Macaca mulatta: one gene and its partner. Each later gene encodes a partner of the first gene's protein in a complex. Links are inferred from orthologs where the notes say so. Each region holds a gene or a part of one and is shown on either strand. Other genes may lie near its edges.

What was found. Proteins that work in one complex are often made in the same cells at the same time.
Region 2: the proteins of SRRT (region 1) and NCBP2 are in contact, whole or in part, in a cryo-EM structure (PDB 8PMP), measured with the Homo sapiens proteins. The link is inferred for Macaca mulatta from reciprocal best matches to the Homo sapiens genes SRRT and NCBP2. Residues at the interface, in NP_056992.4 of Homo sapiens: Asp857, Arg859, Ala860, Ile861, Val862, Glu863, Tyr864, Arg865, Ala869, Asp874; in NP_031388.2 of Homo sapiens: Ser48, Phe49, Tyr50, Thr51, Thr52, Glu53, Gln55, Lys67, Met71, Leu73, Met76, Lys77, Lys78, Thr79, Ala80, Tyr89, Asp107, Glu121.

The regions. Positions count from the first base shown.
Region 1 is NC_133408.1:48,082,746-48,090,604, forward strand, and holds the start of SRRT (serrate RNA effector molecule homolog), read left to right. Parts: upstream 1-3,216; 5' UTR 3,217-3,394; intron 3,395-3,638; 5' UTR 3,639-3,656; coding exon 3,657-3,778; intron 3,779-7,859. Other genes in the region: TRIP6 (thyroid receptor-interacting protein 6), read left to right, coding at 398-518, 950-1,081. UniProt on the Homo sapiens protein: Acts as a mediator between the cap-binding complex (CBC) and the primary microRNAs (miRNAs) processing machinery during cell proliferation.
Region 2 is NC_133407.1:2,488,173-2,496,087, reverse strand, and holds the start of NCBP2 (nuclear cap-binding protein subunit 2), read left to right. Parts: upstream 1-3,743; 5' UTR 3,744-3,791; coding exon 3,792-3,869; exon of another isoform or gene 3,870-4,895; intron 4,896-6,075; exon of another isoform or gene 6,076-6,225; intron 6,226-6,818; coding exon 6,819-7,000; exon of another isoform or gene 7,001-7,039; intron 7,040-7,915. Other genes in the region: PIGZ (GPI alpha-1,2-mannosyltransferase 4), read left to right, coding at 1-98; protein NCBP2AS2, read right to left, coding at 3,276-3,575. UniProt on the Homo sapiens protein: Component of the cap-binding complex (CBC), which binds co-transcriptionally to the 5' cap of pre-mRNAs and is involved in various processes such as pre-mRNA splicing, translation regulation, nonsense-mediated mRNA decay, RNA-mediated gene silencing (RNAi) by microRNAs (miRNAs) and mRNA export.

The sequences.
Region 1 (7,859 bases):
GTTTCATCATGTTGGCCAAGCTGGTCTCAAACTCCTGAGCTCAAGCGATCCACCTGCCTCGGCCACCCAAAGTGCAGGGATTGCAGGCGTGAGCCACTGCACCCAGTCTTCTTCTGTTTTTTAATAAAGACATGGTCTTGCTGTGTTGCCTAGGCTGGTCTTGAACGCCTGGCATCAAGTAATCCTCCTGCCTTGGCCTCCCAAAGTGGGGGCATTACAGGCTAGAGCCACTGCACCTAGCCTCTCTCATTCTCTTTGACATCATCCCTTCCCCAAGACCTAAGGTCATACCTCTGGCCTCCCTGAATCCCTCCTATGCCCCACCTTCTCTGGGTTCCATTGTTGGTGCCCTGCAACCCCAAGGCTTGATGGCCTTCTTGGTTCTCTTCCCCCGCAGGAAGTTTGCCCCAAGATGCTCAGTGTGCGGTGGGGCCATAATGCCTGAGCCAGGTCAGGAGGAGACTGTGAGAATTGTTGCTCTGGATCGAAGTTTTCACATTGGCTGTTACAAGTGTGAGGTCAGGGGCCCCCAGCACGTGCAAGGGGCTGGCAGTGTCTGCGGTGCTGGGTAGAGCACGAGACGGGGAACACAGAGATCTGGGGCTGATGGAAATCTGTTGCTTCTTTCTTTCTTTCTTTTTTTTTTTTTGAGATGGAGTCTCGATCTGTGGCCCAGGCTGGAGTGCAGTGACACGATCTTGGCTCACTGCAACCTCCACCTCCCGGGTTCAGGCAAGTCTCCTGCCTCAGCCTCCTGAGTAGCTGGGATGACAGGTGCTGGCCACCACGCCTGGCTGATTTTTGTATTAGTAGAGACAGGGTTTCACCATATTGGCCAGGCTGGTCTCGAACTCCTGACCTTGTGATCCACCCGCCTCGGCTTCTCAAAGTGCTGGGATTACAGGTGTGAGCCACCGCACCCGGCCAATTGTTGCTTCTTTTTCAACAGGAGTGTGGGCTGCTGCTCTCCTCTGAGGGCGAGTGTCAGGGCTGCTACCCGCTGGATGGGCACATCTTATGCAAGGCCTGCAGCGCCTGGCGCATCCAGGAGCTCTCAGCCACCGTCACCACTGACTGCTGAGTCTTCCTAGAAGTACCTGCTGGGTTCTCAGTTCCAGTTCCCATCCTTCGATTGATCACCCTCCCTGACATCCACCTGTATGACTTCATCACCAAATGCTGTCTCCTCTTTCTCCAATCAAGAAATAATAATCCCTCGAGTTTACAAAACACTTCCAAGTCTGCTGTCTTATCTGATTCTCCCAGTAGCCCATTACAAGCCCAGTTGTTGTTACTACCTGCATTTTTTTTCTTTTTTTTTTGAGACGGAGTCTGGCTCTGTCACCTAGGCTGGAGTGCAGTGATGCCATCTTGGCTCACTGCAACCTCCGCCTCCCGGGTTCAAGTGATTCTCTTGCCTCAGCTTCTCGAATAGCGGGGTTTACAGGCGCCTGCCACCATGCCTGGCTAATTATTTGTTTATTTTTTTGAGATGGAGTCTTGCTCTGTCACCCAGGCTGGAGTACAGTGGTACAATCTCGGCTCACTGGAAGCTCCGCCTCCCAGGTTCACACCATTCTCCTGCCTCAGCCTCCCGGGTAGCTGGGACTATAGGCACCCACCACCATGCCCAGCTAATTTTTTGTATTTTTAGTAGAGACAGGATTTCACTGTGTTAGCTAGGATGGTCTTGACCATCGTGATCCACCCACCTCGGCCTCCCAAAGTGCTGGGATTACAGGTGTGAGCCACCGCGCCCAGCCAATTTTTGTATTTTTGGTAGAGATGGAGTTTCACCACGTTGGTCAGGCTGGTCTCAAACTCCTGACCTCAAGTGATCTGCCCGCTTCGGCCTCCCAAAGTGTCGGGATTACAGGCGTGAGCCACCGCGCCCAGCCACTGTCTGCATTTTTACATGTGAGGATGCCAGAGGAGAGTGACTCCCCCAGATTGCATGGTTCTTAAATGGTGGAACCTGGGTCTTTTTGGCTCAGGTCCAGTTTTTTTGGACAACTCTTGTAATCTGTCACTACCCACCTCTCAGTGCTGGGAGCAAGCATGCCTTAGGGAGGAGGCAAGATTTCCTATATGTATCTATTTTGAGACAGGGTCTCACTCTGTTCCCCAGGCTAGAGTGCAGTGGTGAAATTCAAGGCAGCCCTGAACTCCTCGGCTCAAACAGTCCTCCTAGCTTAGCCTCCCCAGTAGCTAGGACCACAGGGGCATCCTACCAAGCCCAGTTGTTATTTTTTTGTGCGTAGATGGGATCTTGCTATGTTGCCCAGGCTAGTCCTGAACTCTTGGGCTCAAGTCCTCCCTCCTCAACCTTCCCAAGTGCTGGGATCACAGGTGTGAGCCACTGTGCCTGGCCCTAAATATTCTGTAAAGGGGTCTTGCTATGTTGCCCACACAGGTCTTCAACTCCTGGGCTCAAGTGATCCTCCCACCTCGGCCTCCCAAAGCGCTGGGACTGCAGGCGTGAGTCACCTCAGCTGGCCTTCCTATTAGGTCTCACACTCAATTCTGAGAGGGGCCTTGGTGTTACTCCCGGGCGTGGCAGTCCACTGAATGTGGGCGGTCCATACTGTTTCGGGCCTTAACTTACAGCCTATATCATCCAAGTACTGAGTGGGGTTAAAACTGAGATCTACCAATTTTCCTTAAAGATGGGGCGTTTTTGTCGAGGAAGATCAGGAATGGCGGACTTTGCATTTAGTGCGCACTGTGGCACCCACTTTTGGCTGGATATTTGGAGCAGAAAATGGTGGGAGACGATGCTTTAAAATGGTTGCTTCCATCTTCCATCCCCTAAACGCGCTTCCCAAGTCCACGTCCTGCCCGAGGAGAGGACGAAACCCCCCCGGTGAGGTCAGGAGGCCCGTAGGGGGAACACGGCTGGATGAGGACTGGCTCAGACCCCCCTACACATCCGGGGTCGCGCGATCCTCGACTTCGGCCCTCGGAAGCTCTCCCTTCGCGCCCAGAGAGCGCCTTCGCCCCCCGAGGCCGCGCTTGGCCCAGCCGAGTTCCCGTAGTTCCTAAAACTCTAGCCATTCTCGTCTCGAAAAACCGCGCGAGACTTGCGAGAACCCCGCCCCTTTCCCGTCACGCCCTGCTCTCCCCGCCCATCGCGCTCGGTTCGTTAGTTCCAGTTCGGGCCGCGAGGGGGGAGCTTTGTGCCTCGGAGGCGTGGGTGACGCAGGCGCAACGCGGGCCGCGCTCGCTACCGCCCATCCTTGGTTGTCCCACTTTTGTTCCCCTCTCTTTGGCCCTGTAACCAAGAGCTCCGTCTTCGTCTCGCCCTCCTCGTCGTCCTCGTCGCGCGCCCGCGGCCCAGGTCGCCCTGAAATCCAGCCCGTCCGAGCGCGAGTCCAACGGCCGCGGCCGCTCCCAGGTGGGGGAGGGGAGGAGCCTGGGGGGCCCCGCTGGGGCGCGAGAGGAACCGGGGGCCACGGGGGCGTGCTGGGAGACCCTCGGGGCGAGTGGAAGCATTGGAGCCGCGTCCTGAGGCCCAGGATGGTGGGGGCCGCGGAGGGCTGGCCTTGACGGGAGGGAAGCGGGCGAGGTGCCCGCGAGGGACGATCTCTTCCTCCGCTTGTCCTTTTGCACCACCCTGACCGCCCCTCCCCGGTCCCCAGGCCCCCTCAGACCGCGCCATGGGTGACAGTGATGACGAGTACGATCGAAGGCGCAGAGACAAGTTCAGAAGAGAGCGCAGCGACTACGACCGTTCCCGCGAGAGAGATGAAAGACGTCGAGGGGACGATTGGAATGACAGGTGAGCCGTTTTTAACTTCTTCTTGTCCCCATTTAATGCCGTTTCACGCCACCCGCGTCGCTTTTCTTTTTCCCCCTTGTAATTTTTATGAGGGCGAACCCTATGAAATGGCTCATTGGATCGTTTGCTGTTGTTCAGCCTATTTGTTGTTGGCCAAGTAACTAGCTGTGTGGCTTGGTTTTTTAAATTCTCAGCAGATCAGAGCAATAGAGCTAAGAGTTTGAGAATGAAGAAGCACTGTTTATACATGCACGAAAAACGTGCTTTTTTGCTTTCTTTTTGTTTTGTTATGGAGATGGGGTCTTGTTCTGCCCTGGCTGGAGTGCATTGTGGTGCAGTCATAGCAGCTTCCACCTCCTGAGCTCAACCGATCCTCCTGCCTCAGCCTCCTGAGCAGTTGGGAGTACAGGGGGAGGCCATCACTCCTGGCTAACTTTTAAAAATTGTTATTATTATTTCGAGACAGGGTCTCGCTCTGTCGGCTAGCCTGGAGTGCCGTGGCGCAGTCTTGGTTCACTGCAGCCTCCGCCTCTGGGGTTCAAGTAATTCTCCTGCCTCAGCCTCCCGAGTAGCTGGGATTGCAGGCACCCGCCACCACACCTGGCTAATTTTTGTATTTTTAGTAGAGACGGGGTTTCACCATGTTGGCCAGGCTGGTTTGGAACTCCTGACTTCAGGTGATTCACCCAGCTTAGCCTCCCAAAGTGCTGGGATTACAGGCATGAGCCACAGTACCTGGTCTAAAATTATTTTTTGTAGAGACAGAGTCTTGCTCTGTTGCCCAGGTTGTAAATTATATTTTAGGAAGATTGCTTCAGAAAAATAATAATATAGAGTTGATCTGACTGGAGAGGTTGTCAGACTATTTCCCTGACAATATATGATTAGGTTTTTTGTCACTGTTTTGCCTAAAATCTCAGAGTTTATTGGGTGGTGCTGATTGGATTGATTGATTATAAGATGTGGTTATTGACCTGAGGATGTTACAGTGTGGGCTTGGCCTGGGGGTTCAGAATGGCCATGGATGTATTCTGTAAATGAGAATACATAGCGGAAGTTATAAAGAGGATAAGCATTAAGGGAACAGATCTCTAAAGGAGGGGAGCGGTGCTGGAGGGGGTGTGTCAGGGACCCACTGGAAAGTGACACTTAGCTAGACTTAGAAAGATAAGTGGGAATTCCCCAGACACGAGTGACACGAACAGCTTGGAGTTGTGGACATAATGTGTGCTTTTAGCATATTCTAGTTTGGTTAGAGTCCTGTTTCTCAGGATGTCCGCAGACCATAGGGAGTCTCCGAGGCTAAAATTATTTTTTGTGCTAATGTTTACATATTATTGCCATTTCCACTGATGGTGCCATAGCAGTGGTGGGTAAAACTGCTGATGCTTTAGCAAACATCAAGGCAGTGACAGCAAAGAGTTTAAAAAAAAAAAAGAAAAAGCCAGCTGGGCGCGGTGGCTTATACCTGTAATCCCAGTACTTTGGGAGGCCAAGATGGGCAGATCATGAGGTCAAGAGATCGAGACTATCCTGGCCAACATTGTGAAACCCCATCTCTACTAAAAATAGAAAAAGTTAGCCAGGTGCCGTGGTATGCGCATGTAGTCCCAGCTACTCGGAAGGCTGAGACAGGAGAATCACTTGAACCTGGGAGGCAGAGGTTGCAGTGAGCCGAGATCGTACCACTGCACTCCCGCCTGGCGACAGAGCAAGACTACGTCTCAAAAAAAAAAAAAATGCCAGTTCTATCAATGGTTCTTGATGAAAGAGTAAAACATTTAATTTGATTAAATTGGACTCTTGACTGTACGTCTTTGTTTTTGACATAAAATCTCTCTCTGTTGCCCAGGCTGGAGTGCAGTGGTGCAATGTCAGCTCACTGCAGCCTCCACCTCCCCGGTTCAGGCGCTTCTCCTGCCTCAGCCTCTCGAGTAGCTGGGACTCCTGACCTCAAGTGCTTCGGCCTCTCAAAGTGCTAGGATTACAGGCCTGCATTAGTTTTCTTGAGCAAGAGTATGCATGTGATTGAGTGAGCTGAACTAACAGCTTTTTTCCATGGGACATTATTTTTACTTGAATGAATGACAAATAGTGATTGTTCATACTTGGGTATTTGGCAGACATCTTGAAAATGAACTGAGAACCTGTTACTTCAGTGTAAGCTGTCAGTATTTGTTGCCAGTGATGAAGTAGCACTTTCCAGTGAAAATTAAAATTTTGGGCCGACGCAGTGGCTCATGCCTGTAATACCAACACTTTGGGAGGAGAAGGTGGGTGGATTGCTTGAGCCCAGGAATTTGAGAACAACCTGGGCAATGTGGTGAAATCTGTCGGTACAAAAAAATACAAAAATTAGCTGGGGGTGGTGGCACATGCCTGTAGTCCCAGCTACTCAGGAGGCTGAGGCGGGAGGATGGCTTGAGCCTGGGAGGTCGAGGTGAGAGTGAGCCTTGATTGCACCACTGCACTCCAGCTTGGGCAACAGAGAAATACCTTGTCTAAAAAAAAAAAGGAAATTAAAATTTTGGAAAACTTCTATCTACTAATGTGAGCTTGACAGCTTCCCATTAAGTAAAGACTTTTTTGGTGAGATAGGCAGTGATGCTGATGCATACATTTTGATATTGTGTGAGACATATCAAAGTCCATTCAAAGGGCAAGATAGAAGAGTGCATTTTAATGTAGCAGAGAAAGAAATATTCACTGATACTATTTCAGATTGAAGGTTCTAACTAGCCTGTGAGAAACTACTTCCGTCTTGGACAAGGTAGCATAAAGAAAAGATAAAAAAGAACCTATTTCTTGTTGAATTTTGCGTAGTATCCAAAATGAATGTCTACAGTTAATCTGAAAAGGCTTTTTCAACTCCTTATTAGTGTGAGGCCTGATTATCTGTTTTTTTTTTTTTTTTAAAACGGGGTGTTACTCTGTTGCCCAGGTTGGAGTGCAGTGGCACAATCATGGCCGTGGGTCACTGCAGCCTTGACTTCCCCAGGCTCAGGTGATCCTCCCATCTCAGCCTCCTGATTAGTTGGGACTACAAGTGTATGCCACCACACCCAGCTAATTTTTTTTTTCTTTCTTTTTTTTTTTTTTGAGATGGAGTCTCACTCTGTTGCCCAGGCTGGAGTATAGTGGCATGATCTGGGCTCACTGCAACCTCTGCCTCCTGGGTTCAAGCGATTCTCCCGCCTCAGCCTCCCAAGTAGTTGGGATTACAGGTGTCTGCCACCACCCCTGGCTAATTTTTGTGTATTTAGCAGAGACAGTGTTTTGCCATGTTGGCCAGACTGGTCTCAAACTTCTGACCTCAAGTGATCTGCCCGCCTTGGCCTCCCAGAGTGCTGGGATTACAGGCGTGAGCCACCACTTCTAGCCAGCCAGCTAATTTCTGTATTTTTAGTAGAAAGGTGGTTTGACCATGTTGCCCCAGCCTGGTCTTGAACTCCTGGGCTCAGGCAATCCACCTGCTTTGGCCTTCCAGAGTGCTAGCATTCATTACAGATGTGAGCCATCATGCCCGGCCTGCCTCATTTTTCAAATAGAACAGAATATCTCAACAGATTTCAGTGTAGAAGCTATCCTCTACAAAGCCAGAACTTGGAGAGATTGGTGACAATGTAAAAACAACGCCACTTTTTCTCACCAGAATTTTTCTGGAAAATAATCACTTTTCATAAAAACATGTGATCTATTTCATCTTACTGTGTAATTTAAAAATGAAGGTTTTGGAATGTTTTGTTTTAATTTTGAATATAGTAAGTATTGATAGATGTAACCCACATAAGCAGAAACTCTTTGATGTCCTCAGTCATTTTTAAGAGTATGAAGGGGCTGAGGCAGGAGAATTGCTTGAGCCCAGGAGGCGGAGGCTGTAGTGAGCCGAGAGTGAGATTGCGCTACTGCACTCCAGCCTGAGCAACAGAGTGAGACTGTCTCCAAAAAAAAAAAAAAAAGAAGAAGAAGATGAGGATGGGGGAGGCTGGGTGACTGGTTGGGAGGTTGGTGACTGGTGGGGAGGCTGGTCGAGAGGCTGGAGTGACAGCCAGGAGCCCAAGTTAAAACAACAGTGTTGCTT
Region 2 (7,915 bases), on another chromosome or scaffold:
TAACCCTGGAGGATCCACCAGCCCTGTCCTCCTTGCTGAGTGGGGCTTGGAGGGACCACCTCAGTCTTCACATCGTGGAGCTGGGGGAAGAAACCTGACAATATGACAGGGCACCCACCGCCCACGATTCAGCCATAGAAGTTGCTGCCCCACCTTCTACTTGGGTAGCTGGGCTGGGACGCGGGGACAGGGCCCAGGTTCTCCTTCACGACTCCCACTGCTGCCTCTCCTGGGCACGGCTGTTCTGCCTTCTGGGTGAGCTGGCACCCCTCTCCCTGAGACCAAAGATCTGACCTGTCAGTCCTGATGTCAAGGTCCCCAAAGAACCAGGTGTAAGTGATGACACCTGTCGGTTCCTGCCCTACTGCTTCCAGCCACTGTGATGTTTGAAACATGTAATAGTACCTGGTTGGGAAAAAGAATGAACTGCCAGTGACATTCCCCAGCGACCTCTCCCAAACTTCCCATGATGCCTTGCCCTTGCTGTCATGACAACCTCTGGCTTCCTGAGACCGATCTGCCTATCCAAATAATGTGGAAGTCAGTGTGATGAAGTATAGAGAACAGGTGGCCCAGATCCAGGGGACCCAACTTCTAGCCCCTTGGTCTGTCACCCCCTCGCTGTGTGATCTTGAGAAAGCCCCTTCCACTCTCCCACCCCACTTCCCAGTCTGTTGGGATCAGAGGATCTTTGAGGTGTCTGCCAGCTAACATCGTGTCATTCCTGGAATCCACAGTACACGTCCCCCGTCCTCGACAGGCACAGCTCTCACAAAGCTCTTTAAGCATGGAAGTGGGAGTTGTGTCGTACTTCATGGCCCTCTGATGCCTGCTGTCTCAGTGTTTGCAAACAAGTAATGTTTGAAATATATAATTGCACCTGGAGATTTTCTCCCTACTTTCTTTTACTCCTGTTCCTGAGAGGTGGTGGGAAACTCTCCAGCCATTTCTGCACCTTGTCCTTAAGAGTCATTCTCCTGACTGGGCGTGGTGGCTCACACCTGTAATCCCAGTACTTTGAGAGGCCAAGGCGGGCAGATCTCGAGGTCAGGAGTTGAGACCAGCCTGGCCAACATGGTGAAACCCTGTCTCTACTAAAAATACAAAAATTAGCTGGGTGTGGTGGCGGCGCCTGTGGTCCCAGCTGCTCAGGAGGCTGAGGCAGGAGAATGGCTTGAACCCAGGAGGCGGAGGTTGCAGTGAGCCGAGATCGCGCCACTCACTCCCGCCTGGGAGACACAGCGAGACGGTCTTGGGGGGAAAAAAAAAAAGTCATTCTCCCAGATTAGGGAGCCAGATGTTCTCCCTCCTTAGAAGAACTGTGGGTCTCAAGCCCTCCCATCCTGCCCCAGAGAGCAGGGAACACACCATGCTCAGCTAGTGTCTGGTTACCAGCCTCAATTTTTCCGATGGCTTCAAGCTTCTAGATTGCATGATTATCTGTGTTGCCTAATTAGAAATGATCAGATCTGGGTGTGGTGGCTCACACCAGTAATCCCAGCACTTTGGGAGGCAGAAGCAGGAGAACTGCTTGAGACCAGGAGTTCAGGACCAGCCTGGGAAACAAAATGCAATGCCATTTCAACCATAAAACACAAAACAAAACAAAATTGTGGCTGGGCACGGTGGCTCATGCCTGTAATCCCAGCACTTTGGGAGGCTGAGGCAGGCAGATCACAAGGTCAGGAGATCAAGACCATCCTGACCAACATGGTGAAACTCCATTTCTACTAAAATACAAAAAACTAGCCAGGCATGGTGGCGCACATCTGTAATCCCAGCTGCTCGGGAGGATGAGGCAGGGGAATCACTTGAACCCGGGAGGTGGACGTTGCAGTGAGCCGAGATCACGCCACTGCACTCCAGCCTGGTGACAAAGTAAGACTCTGTCTCAAAAACAAAAACAAAAAAACCTGTTTTTAATTAGCTGCGCATAGTGTCATGGGCCTGTAATCCCAGCTACTTGGGAGACCCAGGGAGGAAGCTCGATCACTTGGCCCAATAGGTCGAGGTTGCAGTGACAGCTAGTATCATGCCACTGCACTCCAGCCTGGGCAAGAGTGAGGCCCTGTCTCAAAATAATAAATAAATAAATCAGAAATTTAGCTAGGAGCTTCAAATGACAAGACATTTGTATATACAGTGGATTTCCTAATCATGGGTCCACTAACTTGCTGGACCATAGTCTTAGTTTCGTATGCCTGACCCTCTAAAATGAGGGATGAGTCCAGGTAGCTCATTCCATGGCAGGCAGCAGTCTTTTTTTATTTTTGAGACAGGTTCTCGCTATGCTGCCCAGGCTGGTCTCATCTCAGGCTCATGCGATCCTCCTTCCTCTGCAGTGGCTTGGATTAGACACAACTGCCACCACGCCTGCTCCTAGGCAGTAGTCTTAATGCCTGATGATGGGGGGTTGGGGAAGGAAGGAAAGTATCAGGGTAAATCTTGCAGAGCTGTGTTAAGGACTTAGGCCCTGGAATCAAATGCCTCTGCTCACATCCCACTCTGCAAGACTTTGGGCAACTTAAGCAGCAGCCTCTGTTTCCATCGGAGTGGCTCTTGCCTCTAATCCCAGCATTTTGGGAGGCTGAGGCAGGACGATCACTCGGACCCAAGAGTTCGAGACTACCCCATCTCTACAAAAAAATCCAAAAAGTAATCTGCTTGCTCATGCGGATGTGGTTGTAAGGAGTAAGCGAAATAACACGCAGAGTGCAATGAGCAAGTCCCAGCACAAAATACTCATTTCATAAAATACGTGTTTATTATTGCCATAGGCCTACAGTCCCCGGTATTCTCAATATATCTTGCCTGAGAAGTATCACACTCATGCCTATTAACCAGCTCATACATTTTTTTAATCAAAAGAATTTGGCAGTTGTAGGGTTGTCTTTTCATTCACATCGTCCCTGGAATTAAGTGTCCTGCTACACCAGTGCAGATTCAGCAGCATCTGTCAAGAGTGTCAGTTCCATCTGCAGAGGAAAGGCTCTCTGGCTTCGGTCCGTGGCTCTCCGCGGGTGCGGTGTCTGGACCCAGCCTATCTTCATCTCTGTTAGGCTTCGGGGTCTTTCTCCACACGGTGTCTTGTCCAATCAAAGGACTTCAGCGGAGCCTGCGGTCTGGCCTAGGCTCTTCTGCGTGGGATGTCTGCAGGCCAACAATCCGAGTCGGGGTTCGAAGCCGCGCGCAGTGCCCGGAACGACCCCTCCACGTCGAGGCCAGTGTAGAGCCCGGAAGGCAAAGTAAAGGCCTCGGCCCCGCACAGCCCAGGCTTAAATGTTTGCGCCAGGGCCCCTCTGGCTACCTGGTGGTGGCCCCGAACGGCCACGGAGGCCGCGGCGTAGCTCCTGGGTGAAGGTGTCTCTGAATCGCCCAGCGCGGCGGCACAGGGAGCCTGCGGGGCCAGCCGCGAGGTCCTGCAGGCGGCGGGCCGCGTCCTGGCCCCGCAGCTGGGCCTGCAGCAGAGCGAAGGCCGTGAGCTGCGCCGCACGTCGGATAGGCCGAGACTCGGACAGGCGTTCCACCAGCTGCGGGCTGTGCAGCAGGGCCGCCAGCAGCCGCCGAAGCACCATCTTCCCCAAGCGCCCGGGAATCCGACCTCGCCGCCCTAGTCTTCCGCCCGGCGGCGCCCGACCCGGACGTCATCTGCGCCCGCGCAGCTTGATGACGACACTGCCGCCCTCGGATTGGGTCCAATGAGATGCGCGCTTCCGCGCGTTTCCGCTTCCGCCACGGCAGACGCCACCTCGTGCCGGGAATCGCCGCGTCCTCGTCCGCTTCTCTGCGCTATGTCGGGTGGCCTCCTGAAGGCGCTGCGCAGCGACTCCTACGTGGAGCTGAGCCAGTACCGGGACCAGCACTTCCGGGTGAGGGAGGCCGGGCCGCGAGAGGGGAAGGCCCTGGGCCAGAACGCTGAGAAACGGTTTGCTCTTGTCTCATTGTGTCGCCTCCCGTTCTGCTGCAATCCCCAAACGCCAAGTGGGGCCCCGGTGCCGGCTGGGGAGGCAGGGAGCGGGTGCTGGGGGGGCGCTTGGACATCACTGAAGCCGCTGGCTCTGGAAGACAGGGCATTTGAGGCTCGCTTTCCTGTTCCCTCCAGCCGCTCCCTGCACCCGAGCCGGTGCCGAGAGGCCTGAGCGCTGATGGTAGTGGCGGCTCCCGTTTCCAGGTTGTACCTCGCAGATGGCTGCGTAACAAGGGCGGGGTGCCCTTCTCTCTCCCAGAGTGTGCAGAGGCGCCTTCTTGATGCAGATTCGGGGCTTTTTACGTTCTTTTTTATTTTTTTTATTTATTTTATTTATTTTTTTTTTTTTTGAGACGGAGTCTCGCTCTGTAGCCCAGGCTGGAGTGCAGTGGCCGGGTCTCAGCTCACTGCAAGCTCCGCCTCCCGGGTTTATGCCATTCTCCTGCCTCAGCCTCCCGAGTAGCTGGGACTACAGGCGCCCACCACCTCGCCCGGCTAGTTTTTCTGTATTTCTTAGTAGAGACGGGGTTTCACTGTGTTAGCCAGGATGGTCTCCATCTCCTGACCTCGTGATCCGCCCATCTCGGCCTCCCAAAGTGCTGGGATTACAGGTGTGAGCCACCGCGCCCGGCCTACGTTCTTTTTTAAATCGGCGAAGCAGTGCCCTTCTCTGGGAGGATGGTCTTAGGGAAGCTGTACGCGGTGCGTGGGAGACACAAGTGAAGTCCTCACTCCGCCCTCGGGGAGGCTTCGGAGTGGGGAGGGGGACCCGCCAAGCTGGGCACTTTGAGGGTGTTTGGATGTGAAGATCGGAGAATTGCTGGATTTCAGAAGAGAGAAATTTTTAGTCCGGACTATATCACAGTATGTTTTGTGGAAAAAGGGGAGGCCGCAGATATACAAAGTAGGCTTTTCAGTATCAGCAAAGGTAGGGATGGAATACGGTTGAGGGGTGGCGGCGCGGGACTCATTAACCCGGTTATTTAGTAAACATTTGTTGAGTGCTGTCACCAAAGCCTTGTGCTAAACCCTGGGGGGAAGGGAAGACAGTTTCTGTACTCTGCGAGCTCATAATCCCCTGTAGTGTGGATTATCAAAGAATCTAAGGTGGAAGTGAGTTAAAAGAGAGGCTGTGAGAATTCAGAAAAAGGGGAGAAATCCCCTTGTGACTGGGAAATGAGGGGGCGCATATAGCAGAGGTCAGTGTGGAGAACGTGTGAAATATGTTACTAGAGTAGGGAAAAGGAAACTTTGACGCCAAATTAGGGAAGCTCTGAAATTTATTCAGTCGAGGCCGGGCACGGTGACTCATGCCTGTAATCCCAGCACTTTGGGAGGCTGAGGCGGGTGGATCACGAGGTTAGGAGATCGAGACCAGACTGGCCGAGATGGTGAAACCCCATCCCTACTAAAAATACAAAAATTAGCCGGGCGTGGTGGCGGCGCCTGTAATCCCAGCTACTCGGAAGGCTGAGGCAGGAGAATTGCTTGATCCCGGAAGGTGGAGGTTGCGGTGAGCCAAGATCGCGCCACCGCACTCCAGCCTGGGCAACAGAGCGAGATTCCTACTTAAAAAAAAAAAAAAAAAAAAAATTCGGTCAATTTATTTTATTTTTTGAGACAGAATCTCGCTCTATTGCCTAGGCTGAAGTGCAGTGGCGCAATCACGGCTCATGCAGCCTCAACCTCCTGAGCCCAAGTGATCCTCCCCACCTCAGCCTCCTGAGAAGCTGGGACCACAGGCTCTCACACTACATCCGGCTAATTTTTTGTAGAGACAGGGTCTCCCTGAGTTGCTCAGGCCGGTCTCAAACTCTGGGACTCAAGCGATCCACCAGCCTGGGCTTCCCAAAGTGCTGGGATTACAGACGTGAACCACTGACCCCGGCCAGTCCAGGTTTTAGATGCTTAAGTGCCAGGCATGATTTGCACTTTTTTTGAGACGGGGTCTGGCTCTGTCACCCAGGCTGGAGTGCAGTAGCACGATCTCGGCTCACTGCAAGCTCCGCCTCCCGGGTTCACGCCATTCTCCTGGCGAGCTGGGACTACAGGCCCCGCCACCACGCCCGGCTAATATTTTTGTTTTTGTTTTTGTTTTTGTTTTTTAGTAGAGACGGGGTTTCACCGTGTTAGCCAGGATGGTCTCGATCTCCTGACCTCGTGATCCGCTCGCCTCGGCCTCCCAAAGTGCTGGGATTACAGGCGTGAGCCGCTGTGCGCGACCCTGATGAGCCATTTTGGATCCAGGGATTTGTCAGGTGTGTTGGATGAAGCCCAGTTATATTCTTATTTCTGGCTTCATCGTGTCATCCCAGTTTGGAAGCCCATTAGGAAAGTGAGCTCTGTTTTGTTTTTAGTGATCACTACATTTTTTTCCTCAATTCAGAAAAAATACATGAGCATGTAAAGCATCAGAGTTGTTGCTTTAAACAGTCTCTATGGGGTTATTAAAAGGGGACTCTCTGGAAATCCACTTATTTCTCACTACAGAGTATAAAAGGGCCCTTTGTCATACATGGGTCAAGGTCCAGAGTTTAACCTTGGTTGAAAGGATGCACTGCTGAGAAGATGGCGTGTGCAGGGAAAAAAGCCGCTTGTGTGGCAGTCTGGCGTAGGGTGACTTTGCTGTATGCGGTATAACTTTTGAGCCTTGTCTCTACTAAGAGTCTGGACTTTGCATAAGTGCTTCACAGGATGTGAACATCTCCCTTTTTTTGAGCAAGGGATTTGTGGTAGGCTGGGATGAGAGAATTTGATTTCCAAATCAGAATTAATGAATGTTTCTACCATACTTAGAAATACTATTTAAGCAAGGCTCTGAAGTTGCTTTTGTCTCTCTTTGAAATTCTAGGGTGACAATGAAGAACAAGAAAAATTACTGAAGAAAAGCTGTACGTTATATGTTGGAAATCTTTCTTTTTACACAACCGAAGAACAAATCTACGAACTCTTCAGCAAAAGTGGTGACATAAAGAAAATCATTATGGGTCTGGATAAAATGAAGAAAACAGCATGTGGATTCTGTTTTGTGGAGTATCCTTCCTGTGGATGGAATGTGGCTGCTGAACTGGGGTAGAGCTGAGAATAGTAGCTCATAATCCTCCCTGCACTTGCCCCTACGTTTTCCCTCGTCTCCCTCCTACCTTCTGTCCAGTGTCACTGCTCTTTTTTTTTTTTGAGACAGAGTCTGGCTCTGTCGCCCAGGCTGGAGCGCAGTGGCCGGATCTGAGCTCACTGCAAGCTCCGCCTCCCGAGCTTACACCATTCTCCTGCCTCAGCCTCCGGAGTAGCTAGGACTGCAGGCGCCCGCCACGTCGCCCGGCTAGTTTTTGTATTTTTTTTTTTTTTTAGTAGAGACGGGGTTTCAACGTGTTAGCCAGGATGGTCTCGATCTCCTGACCTCATGATCCGCCCATCTCGGCCTCCCAAAGTGCTGGGATTACAGGCTTGAGCCACCGCGCCCGGCCGTCACTGCTCTTATACTATAAAGCTGACACTAGTTACATTCTCTCCTGAAATCCATGCTTTATGGTTGTTTAAGAAAAAGTTTTTCAGGCCGGGCGCGGTGGCTCAAGCCTGTAATCCCAGCACTTTGGGAGGCCGAGACGGGCGGATCACGAGGTCAGGAGATCGAGACCATCCTGGCTAACACGGCGAAACCCCGTCTCTACTAAAAAATACAAAAAAAACTAGCCGGGTGAGGTGGCGGGCGCCTGTAGTCCCAGCTACTCGGGAGGCTGAGGCAGGAGAATGGCGTGAACCCGGGAGGCGGAGCTTGCAGTGAGCTGAGATCTGGCCACTGCACTCCAGCCTGGGCGACAGAGCGAGACTCCGTCTCCAAAAAAAAAAGAAAAAGTTTTTCAAGAATGTTTGCCCTTCATTAAAAAAAAAAAAAAAATTCCAAAGAGCACAGTGAAAATAAAAAAACCTTGTACTGTTCTAAACCCC